2 linked regions of the Arabidopsis thaliana genome follow. The protein of the gene in region 1 interacts with the protein of each later gene in a pairwise test. Each region holds a gene or a part of one and is shown on either strand. Other genes may lie near its edges.

Region 1 (4,880 bases):
AACAAATAGTAATCGTGCTTCTTCCTTGCAGCAAAAAGGCAAATAAAAAACAAGATTTTAGGTTATGAAAAGCAAGTAACAAAAGGAGAAAAAGGAACGGCTAGAAACAAACACGGATATTTAGGGAGATCCAATTATGTGGCTCGGCTTTTCATGTTTTATCTCCATGTCCTTACTGAGAAATTTTCAAAAGATAACGAAAAAGAGAAATTATGCATACGTTGAATGGTTTTATGTTTTTTTTTTTTTTATCATGCTATGATTTGTATGTTATTAATCCATTTACAAAAAATGCGATATGACATTTTATCCTAATTACAGACTTTACAGTGTTGTAGCTCAAAACTTATCACCACATAAATCAATAATAATCGATTATCATAAAAGTTGGTAAGACAGATGCTAAAACTAAACATACAACTTAGACCTATCTAAATGAACCAATTGAAGATCCAATTTTAAAGAAACCAACAAGAAGATTTGACCGATTCAAAACAATTGTTGATTATATTTGAGGATTTTTTTTGGTTAAAAGCATTATTTGGTAATGCATCTTATCAAATCCGACATCTCAAATTTGGACCACTCTCAATCTCGAAATAAACAGTTCTTATTAGCATCGATCGTATCATGTCGACTTTGAAACAGATCAATGCCAAAATTAAATTATATAACATTTTCAAAATTCAGATAGGTTTCTCTAAAAAGACACATTGTACATAGGGAATAATCTTATGAATTGTGCATAGTCGTCAATGGACGACGAGAACAATAAAAGAGGATAGATAGTTAGTCGTGCTCAGAATCTTTAACCCTTCGGAATTTAAAGATTTTTGACGATTACATTCACCTAAGTAAAATTATTCAAATAATATTATAAACGACGAAAAAACGATTTCTTCGTCACATATTTTTTTTATTCCCGATGATTTCAGACTTTTTTGTCCTCTCTCATTCAACCTTGAAAAGATTACGGCCACACGTGCATGGAACACCACACGCTCGTTTTTACTACCCTCTCGCGTCATATTCCATTTTCTCAAGAAAAACCCCAATATTTTGAGTAATGCATTTTCCGACCCAATATGACTTCAGTAATATTTCCACATACCCCCTTCAGCTTTTCTATGCTTTTAATTCTGCCCCCACATTTTACGAATTCCACTGATCGGAGCAATACCATTGCTCATTGTCCGCAAACAACTTGCAAGCTTCCTCTCCACTAAACAGATCTTCATGCTCTTCCATTTTCACGAATTGGCTAAAACAACCCATCGTCGACATTTCTACAGTCGTGGCCGCCACTGCGCCAGCTGCTTCAACCGTATTGGGACTATACTCTTCGTTCAAAACCGCGCTTGAGTCGCTGCTATCGGCAGGATCGTCTCTGAAGTTTTCCGTGCGTGGAAAAATGCTAAACATTTCGAATGCGAGCTCCGATGTCGGAGCGTCCGTAGGAATATGCGGTGGTGGCGATGGAGAACGGTGGCTTAGCTCTAAGACTTCATTATTAGCCATCACCGATTGATTTGCTTCCACTGCTTTTAAAGCGCCGTTCTCTTCTATACCTTTAACCCCTTCCACGTTAAGTTTTGCTTTCAGCTCTTTAATCTGCATAAATGTCATGTTTTATAAATATCAATACTCTTTATAATCTACCAAACAAAAGGATTATCTCTGAATTTGTTTAAATTTAGCTATTATTATCCCAAATTATATAATAAATTAATAAACATGAAACTTTTAGTATATTAATCACAAAATTCAAAAAAAAAATCTGTTTGTGTTTGGTTTATCATTTGTAATTAGCTTAAAATGATATTTTTAACAAATGATATTAGCTTAAAATGCATAAGTTTGTGACTTTTTTATACACTAAAGAAAAATCAACGTAATTAAAGGCAATTCAAACACAGACGATCAAAACTTTAGTCTAACGGTCAGAATTCAAATTGTAATTTCAAAATAAACAAATTGAAACGATGTTATTAATGTTCTATACGTTCGTTTATTTGATTGACCGAATCATTGATGGATTTAGTTACAATAATGGCTAAGATGGTTGTTTGGGTGTGCCTAGACGTTTAAATTTATTGACAAAAAAAAAAGTCACAAAGACTATACCTGTCCAAGGAGTGAATCGTTATCGCGTTGAAGCGAGTCGCGGTTGCGTTTGAGTGCATCAAAGTTTGACTTAAGAACGCCGTAATCACGTTCAAGCTGCTTTGTCTTCCACCGAGCACGGCGGTTTTGAAACCAGATCGCGACTTGGCGTGGCTGCAACCCAAGCTCTTGAGCCAGCTTCACTTTCCTCTCTGGCTCTAACTTGTTATCAATCTCGAAATTCTTCTCTAACGCTTTCACTTGCTCTACACCCAACCGCCGTTTTTTCTCCGCCGCCGTAGAAGACGCGTGTCCAACGCCGCCGAGGTCCTCTAGACTTCCGTCGTCTTCTAATGCGTCAAACATCTGGGAGTAGTCTCCGGCGCCGGAATAGAGAAAGCCGGTAGTTGTTGGTCTTGGGCTTATTTGTTTGTCTGTTAAAATCATTAATCAAGGTAGTACATTAAAAATAGTACTACTATATATCTAACCAATCTCATAAAACGGATAGTTTCAATCAAATAATGGAATATTTATGATGTCATGAGTAATCACAAAACCTTGTCAGGATAACGTCTCGATAGTATGAATTGTCAGAAAACATATATTTACTTAAAATGTTAATTAATAAAACACAATCATATAATAAAAAAATTCATTAGTATCTTTCTAATGATCATCAACAAACATAATTGCAGTTTCAGAATTGTATAAGAGTTTATATTACAAGAGTCTTATTTTACCTGTTGTAGAATGGCGAATTGGTAAGAAACCGGATAAAGAATCGGAGCTTCCACGTGATCTCTTCATCTTGTTTGGTCGGAACAATTGAGATCGAAAAGAAGAAGGAAATAAAGTTTATATTGAATGGTTAGATCAAGGCCTAGATGGTTATCGATTAAGATCTATCTACGACCAATACGTGAAGAAACGATCCTCTCTCGTCTCTCATCTTCTTTTTCTCCAAAGAAGGATCTTTGCTCTGTGTCTAGACTATCCATATAAGATGGAAACAGAGAATTGACTAATACTAAGAAATAGTCATCTAATACCAATCAACACCAAGAAAATATGAACTTTTAATTCATCAGGTTTTCTTGGGAAATATTAGTGAGAGATTTCAAAAGTCGTATTATTATTTTCCCCCGAGAAATGGAAATTGGTAAGAGAGAGATAGAGAGGGAGAGAGATAGAGAGGGAGAGAGATGGCTTCTCACCCCAACTCCGGGTTTTAAATAAGACGACAGGATAACCCTAGAGGAAGTGTTGGAGATATCTTGAGTTATTTCAGGAATTTCGGGGGATTTTTTAAACTTTGTAATTAAATGCAAAATAGCTTACAATGGTTAGAGTTAGACACCGGTTTACTCATGAGACTTTGGTCCAGGACGTGAATCATGACAATGCCATGGGTTTTCAGCTCGGCTACTTAGGAGCCGGCATAGATTTTAAAGATTCATTAAATTAGTTCAAAATCATTAGTTTCTACTTTATCATATAAAACACTCGTTGCTTTTTCATATACTACGACATAATTTTGAAAATTAAATTTTTTGAAACATATACTAACAAAATGATCAACTTTTAAATTTAACAGTTGAAAAATCATATAATAATATAAGATGTTCTCATAGTTAGCGTAATGATACAATAGTTAAAGTTAAAATTTGATTCCGAAAAAAATTTGATTCTATAGGATTAATAAAAAAACTTCTGGAGTCCCAAATTATGCAATTGCTACTTCGTTTTCACTTGTATTTTGTTCCTGTTTTTCTTATTGGATTGGTTGATGGCATGGTTAAAAAACAGTAAATTAGAGATTCAGGTCTCTCTACGGACTACAGTAGAGTTGATATTTGGGATATTTTCAATTAAAATGTCATAATCAATCAGTATTAATACACTGGACCAACCTTCGTTTAAATACAATAAATATAGACATGGGTCATGGGTGATATATATTGCAGATACACGCAACGAAATACTATACAAAACAAAAAAAAGTTGCAATAGTAGTCGGTCCAGTAGTTGGCCATGCAAATTGATTTGCTCTAACCGAAAAGATTTTTTAAAATTAGTGTCAATGTGTTTCAGCATTGTTATTAACTTATTACATTCTGATTAAGAAACGCAATGCAAGTCCCTAATACATATTTTTCTTTTTCTAAACGCAAGTTACTTACATATATAGACAGTCGGATTAATACATGTTTTTTGCTTCGTTAGCTGCTGCATGCTGACATATATATACATATAGGTAATAGTTGTACACAAATTTTAGTGTAATTTAATATTATATATGTGAAAAGAGTATGTGGTGTACAAAGGATATTCACACGCTGCAAAATATTTTTAAAATTGGGTAATGGGAAAGGAGACAAAGCTTTGATGAGATAGCTGTCTGTCTGTCTCTGTAACGATCTTGCCCATTTACTACAAAATGTATTATTTTAGTCTGGCAGTAGTATTTTTATAGATATATTGACAATAGATAAGAAACATTAAAAAAAAGTTCAATTACTTTGTAATTCTACAAGTAAATCGACTTTCTTTTTCACAGTTTGAATTACTCACTAACCTTTTTACCAACTGTTTTACTTTGTAGTTAATAACAAAAATTAAAATTATACAAATAATATATACTTTTAAGTGTTTCTGAATCAAACAATACAATTATACAGAGAAAACATCTAACAGTCATTTTGAGAAAATAAAATAAAATATAATATATATATATATATATATTTAATTGACAAAAGAAAGAGCATAAAAGCAAG
Region 2 (5,284 bases), on another chromosome or scaffold:
TTATTCAACTTAGGTTTTCGGTGACGTAAGCAAAGGTACAGACCACATCAGCTTTGAATATAGACCGTTGATCTCGGTTTCTCGATTAGAAAAAAATCGACGGTTAAGCTGCAATAAAAACGTGTGTTTTATATAACTTCGAATCATCTGACGTGGCCATCAATATTTTGTAGTGGAAAAAAAAAGTGGGGTCGATAAGTCAGAAAAGGAGATTAATCATCCAACGGCTCAAACGTGTCCCGACAAAATGACGTGTCCGTCTGGTAAGCGGATAGTCTTACTTACGCATTTATGTGGGCCCCATGTGACGAGGACTCAATTCCTCTATCCTCATTTCCTAAATTATCCTTGTCACTTCATTCTATTTCCTCGATGTACCATTGCTATAGCCGCATTGTTTGAACTTTGAATATAAAAGCCTAATGTTCACACTATAGGCAATTTAGCTTCATCATTACGCATCGTAGTAGGCCTTGAGCCCATATTTTAAGACTAACCTCAAAAGCTAGGCCCAAATTCTATCTTGGACTATTTATAAAGACCCATATAGAAAAGTAAAAAAATCCAATCAAAGAATTTACAGAATGAGGTACTCTTTAAGCCATACTTTTGCTCCTTAGGCAATTATTGTACAAAGGACACTCGTGGTTAGAGCTGCTACATAACGAGATTATACAACTTAAATGTGACGACATAGAGAGAGAGAGAGAAGAAAACAGTCAGTGCAGGTCTGAGGAACGTTTAATGGTGAGCTCGGCTCTGAGATGGAGAATGCCATTGATGAAATGTTGACTGTCCTCGGCTATGAACGAAGTCCATGGAATCCCGAAAAGGTTTCTGTAACCAACCGCTTTCCCCCCTGTGAATGTGTAGTTTCCTTTGTATTTGCTTACGTATTCTTCCTTTGTACTTTTATCTCTTGCCGCAAATTCGTAGTCCACACCAAAACTCACAGCCCCTTTCTCTTGCATTCCGAGGAATAGCCCAAAGCAGTGGAACGAGCTTTGCTGGTCCATGTTGCAGTGTGCTGAGAGGAAGAAACCTTGACCTCCTAAGTGGAAAGCCTGAGAATAGACTCTTCCTGAAGGGAATAGTCCTGCGCATTCCTCTCGCTTCAAGTCCAGGTACACTACACATTGCGGGCGAGGAAGCTCAAACTCCACCACTTTTACGGGTCTGTATTTGTAAGCCCTCTCTATGAAACGGCGGTTCATGGAGTCCGATCCTTCAGCTGCGAGGATGCGTTGCCTGTGTGGGGCTTCTGCTTTGAAGAAGAGCGCTTCTAATACTTGCTTTGATGCTACTTCATGCTCAAAATCACTGCACGTTAGTACCTTTTTCAGCTTTCGACACGTCATGTATGGGAAGCGGATGTAGAGTGCAAGGCGTGAACCCAGAATCTCTCTACGATCTTCCAATGAACTATACTGTCCCCTTGCCCATTTCAAGACAAAATCATAAACAGCATCCTCAGAAGCAATTTGGAGATCATCGCTCGATAGTATCGCCTCTATTCCAGCCAATGGTAAGGCCATAACCTCATCATGAAACCTGTACAAGATGGTAACACATGAACAAGAATTATACAACACTAGAGTAAATGCATTTCAAACCACTGGAGAGTCTTACTTGGTAATATCCTTGTAGCGCGAGGCAAGGAACTGCTTTGCTGCATCGGTTAGAGGTTGCACTGCTTCAGCCATTAAAACACTAGAGGGCAGCTCAAGATAGAGCAAAGCAGAATCAGGGGTCATGGGCATATTTCGCAGTAGTCTACTACAATACCTCATACAGGAAGCAACCTCAAACTTGTCAGCAGCCATAAGAACATCTAATAAAGCGGGTGCTGTTGTGACACTTAGAGAGTTGCTATACATAAAGTTTAAAAGCTCCATCAAAGCACCTTCCTCTACAATACACATAAAAGTAGAGCATGAGAAATCAACAATGTGGACTCCCTTAAAGCTAATATCGTATATCATATGTAAATCAAAGTCAGCAACTGAGTTAATACAAGAGGCATAAAGAATCCAAAACAAGAAGAAGCCAACAGAGAGCTAGTAGAGAATTGAAGCCAATATAAAGAGATTGGAGAATAGCAGAAATGAATTAAAAGCTTGACTTAAATTGTCGTACCTTGTGCACTAATTCTAAGGGTTACATGTCTTTGTTCTGATTCCCTCATTCCATTAGAAAACAGCTACAACAGGGTAAGGAAAACAAGAAGCAAAAGATAGCATTACATGCGAGATGAACAAGAGCAAACAATAAGAACATAGAAGAAGAAAAAAGGTTAATACCTTGTAGAAAAAGGGGCTTTTTGCGGCCAAGATAGGAGAACTAATATGCAGTTCTTTAACTCTAACAACAGTAGAACAATCAATACCCCAGTTTGGCTCACTAGATGCATCATCATCACCTACAAAAACCATTAATAAACAAAGCCATCACGTTTCAGACAAATGACTTCAACAAAAAACGCTCTTCTGAAAATTGTTAAGTATCACAAATTCAAACCCAGTCACTCGAGAGACAATGTGAAATTTAGAACGGTACCTGATAAAGCCTCTTCAACCATTGCCTCTCCTTCATCGTCAAGATTATCACCACCAGGAGCATCATCCATATCAGGTTGGTTGTTATCGGTTAAAATCTGTTCTTCAGCACATGCCACAATGTCTGAAATCGCAACTGGAAATGCAAAACGTATAAGTTTCTTAAACATTTAAACCCAAAAGCCCTAAACCAACCATAAGAACAATTCATAAAAACAACAACAAAATCTGAGATTCCAACCGATAGGGAATCAAACGTACCACCATTGTCCTTCTTGTTGTCCTCTCTTCTCCTCTTGCGATGACGAGCCCAATCGGCAATACTCGTACATCCTTCAGCATCAGACCTAGAATCCGAAGGCCCACCCAAGATCTCGATCCGGAGCAAACGATCGGAGAAGTTACTGTCATTGAAAGCGAAACCAAAATCACCTTCGGAGGAAGAACCATGGCGAGAGAAATTGGAATCCATCTCCGTCTTAGGGTCAAATAGATCGGTGTTATTGGAACCTCTCATCCTCCTTTTCGAAAACCCTCTTCTCCGTGTCTTCTCTCCGGCGAGAACCGAGCAGAAGAATCAGGATAACAATAAGGGTCAAATTCGAAAAGGTTTTTTTGAGGAACGAAAATGACAAAGAAACACTAAAAAAGTCTTTCTCTGTTTTTTTTTTCTGAAACAAAGAGCGGGTCGACGTTGAACGGTTATGGTAACAGGGCGGTGACGGATAAAGGCTAATTAAAGACAAAGAGGTTCGTTAATGCCAGCCTAACTAATTGTTTAACCGGTTTGGTCTTTTGATTGTAATAAGCACTTTGGTTCTTTTTCCGGTATTTTGCATAAATCGCGTAGGTACGATTTTGATTTTGACTTATCGGATTCGATTTTTAGTATTTGGGGGAAATTTAGCATTTACTTAATTAGAGGAGGAAAAAGGTAATAGGCAAAATTAGGAGTGTATTTAGTTGGAAAGCGTCAAATTTGGTAAGAAGACAACTCGTTCAACAAACGGCAATGCCTTTTATGTCGTTAAATATTCGTTGGAATCAAAGTCTAATTTGGAGTTTTCTTTTAATAAAATACAATTACTTCAACGTTTTACAGACTTTGTTAATTAGATTTTGACCGAGTGAAACTTGGCTATGCAATGATAACTTGACAAAAAAAAAAGGACTAATTTATAAATTGAAATCCGGCCGGTATACATTTCTTCGTAGGCCAACACATGACAAACCAGTTGACTATGTTGTGTACTACTAGGGATCATTTGAGATGATACGACTTAACGTATCGACTACAAGCAACCCAGCTGCTATTATTTCTTGAAACCATCGATGGTATATTTTCTCAAACCAAAACAATTATAGTGTACTTGTTTCGATCTGATCGAAGTTAAACCTAACTTTATTATTGTTCTTGTTTTAACTAAAAACGTATCCAAGACCAGTTTTGATGAATATATTTTTTTCTTTTTTTAGGTGAAATGTCCCCTTCGTATTTACGACAAACACACGACTAATGTTAAAATTAAAACAAGGAACAAGAAATATTTATACATTTGTCAGTTTTAATCTGTATTTCCATTAATATCATATTTTCAAATTGGCACACGAACGTCTTCTCGTAAATAAACAACATTAATATTGCTTCCATGCAAGCATCAACCACAAACACCTGCAAATAAACATGACAACCTGAAAAAAAAAATGCACTAGAGAAAAAGAAAACAAGTTAGATCGAAACCAAGTTTTGAAGAACAGAGACTAATTAAGAGAAGAAGAAAAGGAGCTCCCTTCAATCCAAACGAAGAGAAGAGAATGATATGTAGAGAAAGAGGGAGAATCTAAGAGGTCGTGCAATCCCCTTAAAGTGTGCTTTCTTCAAGCTTTTAACACCGCGCACTCTCTATGAGGAAGACATGAACTCTTAGATTCTGCATTTTAGTTCCTCAAATCTTGTCCTCTTCGTTTTGGAGGAAGGGAGCTCCTTCTGTTACACTTGAAGAACGAATGTCCCCCAAAAAGAGTTTGATATCTTTTTACAATAAAACGAACCAAAAATAAACTATGGAAAGAGGGAGAATCTAATATGTATGGTGATGGATTGTTGAGGCTTATGATGATGATGTGAAAGAACATGTTGTGTTAAGTCGTTTTATAGATGAAAGAGCATCAACCCTAGTCTACTCCTTGGGACGATTATGGAACAAGTGTAAATAAAAAATTGAAAAATATAGAAGAATAAATGGCAGTAAATCTTATTATTATTATTTATTTATTTATTTTGGCAGTAAATCTTATTGTCATTAATTAGAGATTAAACATAATCTTGTTGACTAGATTCTCTTTTAGAGAGAGATACGGTTAGGGTGCAACACTATGGTTTATGGAGTATTTGCAATTCCATTGCATTAAGACTAAAAAGAGAATTAGTTAGATTTCAAATGTCCAAACAATAACTAAACCGTACTTTTTGTATATTGAAGAGAATCTAGGCATTCGTAAGACCATCATTATTGATAGTTTTTTAGGTTAGTTTTTAGATAAAGTAGATCTTAAATTTAATGTTATAATTCAATTAATGGTTAAGAATAGCTCTTATATAAGAGCCAAATCTAATGTTTTTTAAGTTAATTCTTAGATAAATTAGGTCTTAAATATAATATTTTAATTTAATTAATCTTAATTTTTAGATAACTTAAGTATTAAATAGAATTGTTTGTCATATTTGT

What was found.
Region 2: the proteins of HB5 (region 1) and LRB1 interact in a two-hybrid assay, tested with the Arabidopsis thaliana proteins (one study listed by BioGRID).

The regions. Positions count from the first base shown.
Region 1 is NC_003076.8:26,101,305-26,106,184, forward strand, and holds HB5 (homeobox protein 5), read right to left. Parts: upstream 3,311-4,880; 5' UTR 2,914-3,310; coding exon 2,847-2,913; exon of another isoform or gene 2,551-2,846; coding exon of another isoform or gene 2,538-2,550; coding exon 2,125-2,537; intron 1,612-2,124; coding exon 1,153-1,611; 3' UTR 514-1,152; downstream 1-513. UniProt on the Arabidopsis thaliana protein: Probable transcription factor that acts as a positive regulator of ABA-responsiveness, mediating the inhibitory effect of ABA on growth during seedling establishment. Binds to the DNA sequence 5'-CAATNATTG-3'.
Region 2 is NC_003071.7:18,993,899-18,999,182, reverse strand, and holds LRB1 (BTB/POZ/Kelch-associated protein), read right to left. Parts: upstream 3,539-5,284; 5' UTR 3,073-3,538; coding exon 2,817-3,072; intron 2,692-2,816; coding exon 2,557-2,691; intron 2,420-2,556; coding exon 2,301-2,419; intron 2,201-2,300; coding exon 2,137-2,200; intron 1,910-2,136; coding exon 1,630-1,909; intron 1,552-1,629; coding exon 720-1,551; 3' UTR 511-719; downstream 1-510. UniProt on the Arabidopsis thaliana protein: May act as a substrate-specific adapter of an E3 ubiquitin-protein ligase complex (CUL3-RBX1-BTB) which mediates the ubiquitination and subsequent proteasomal degradation of target proteins.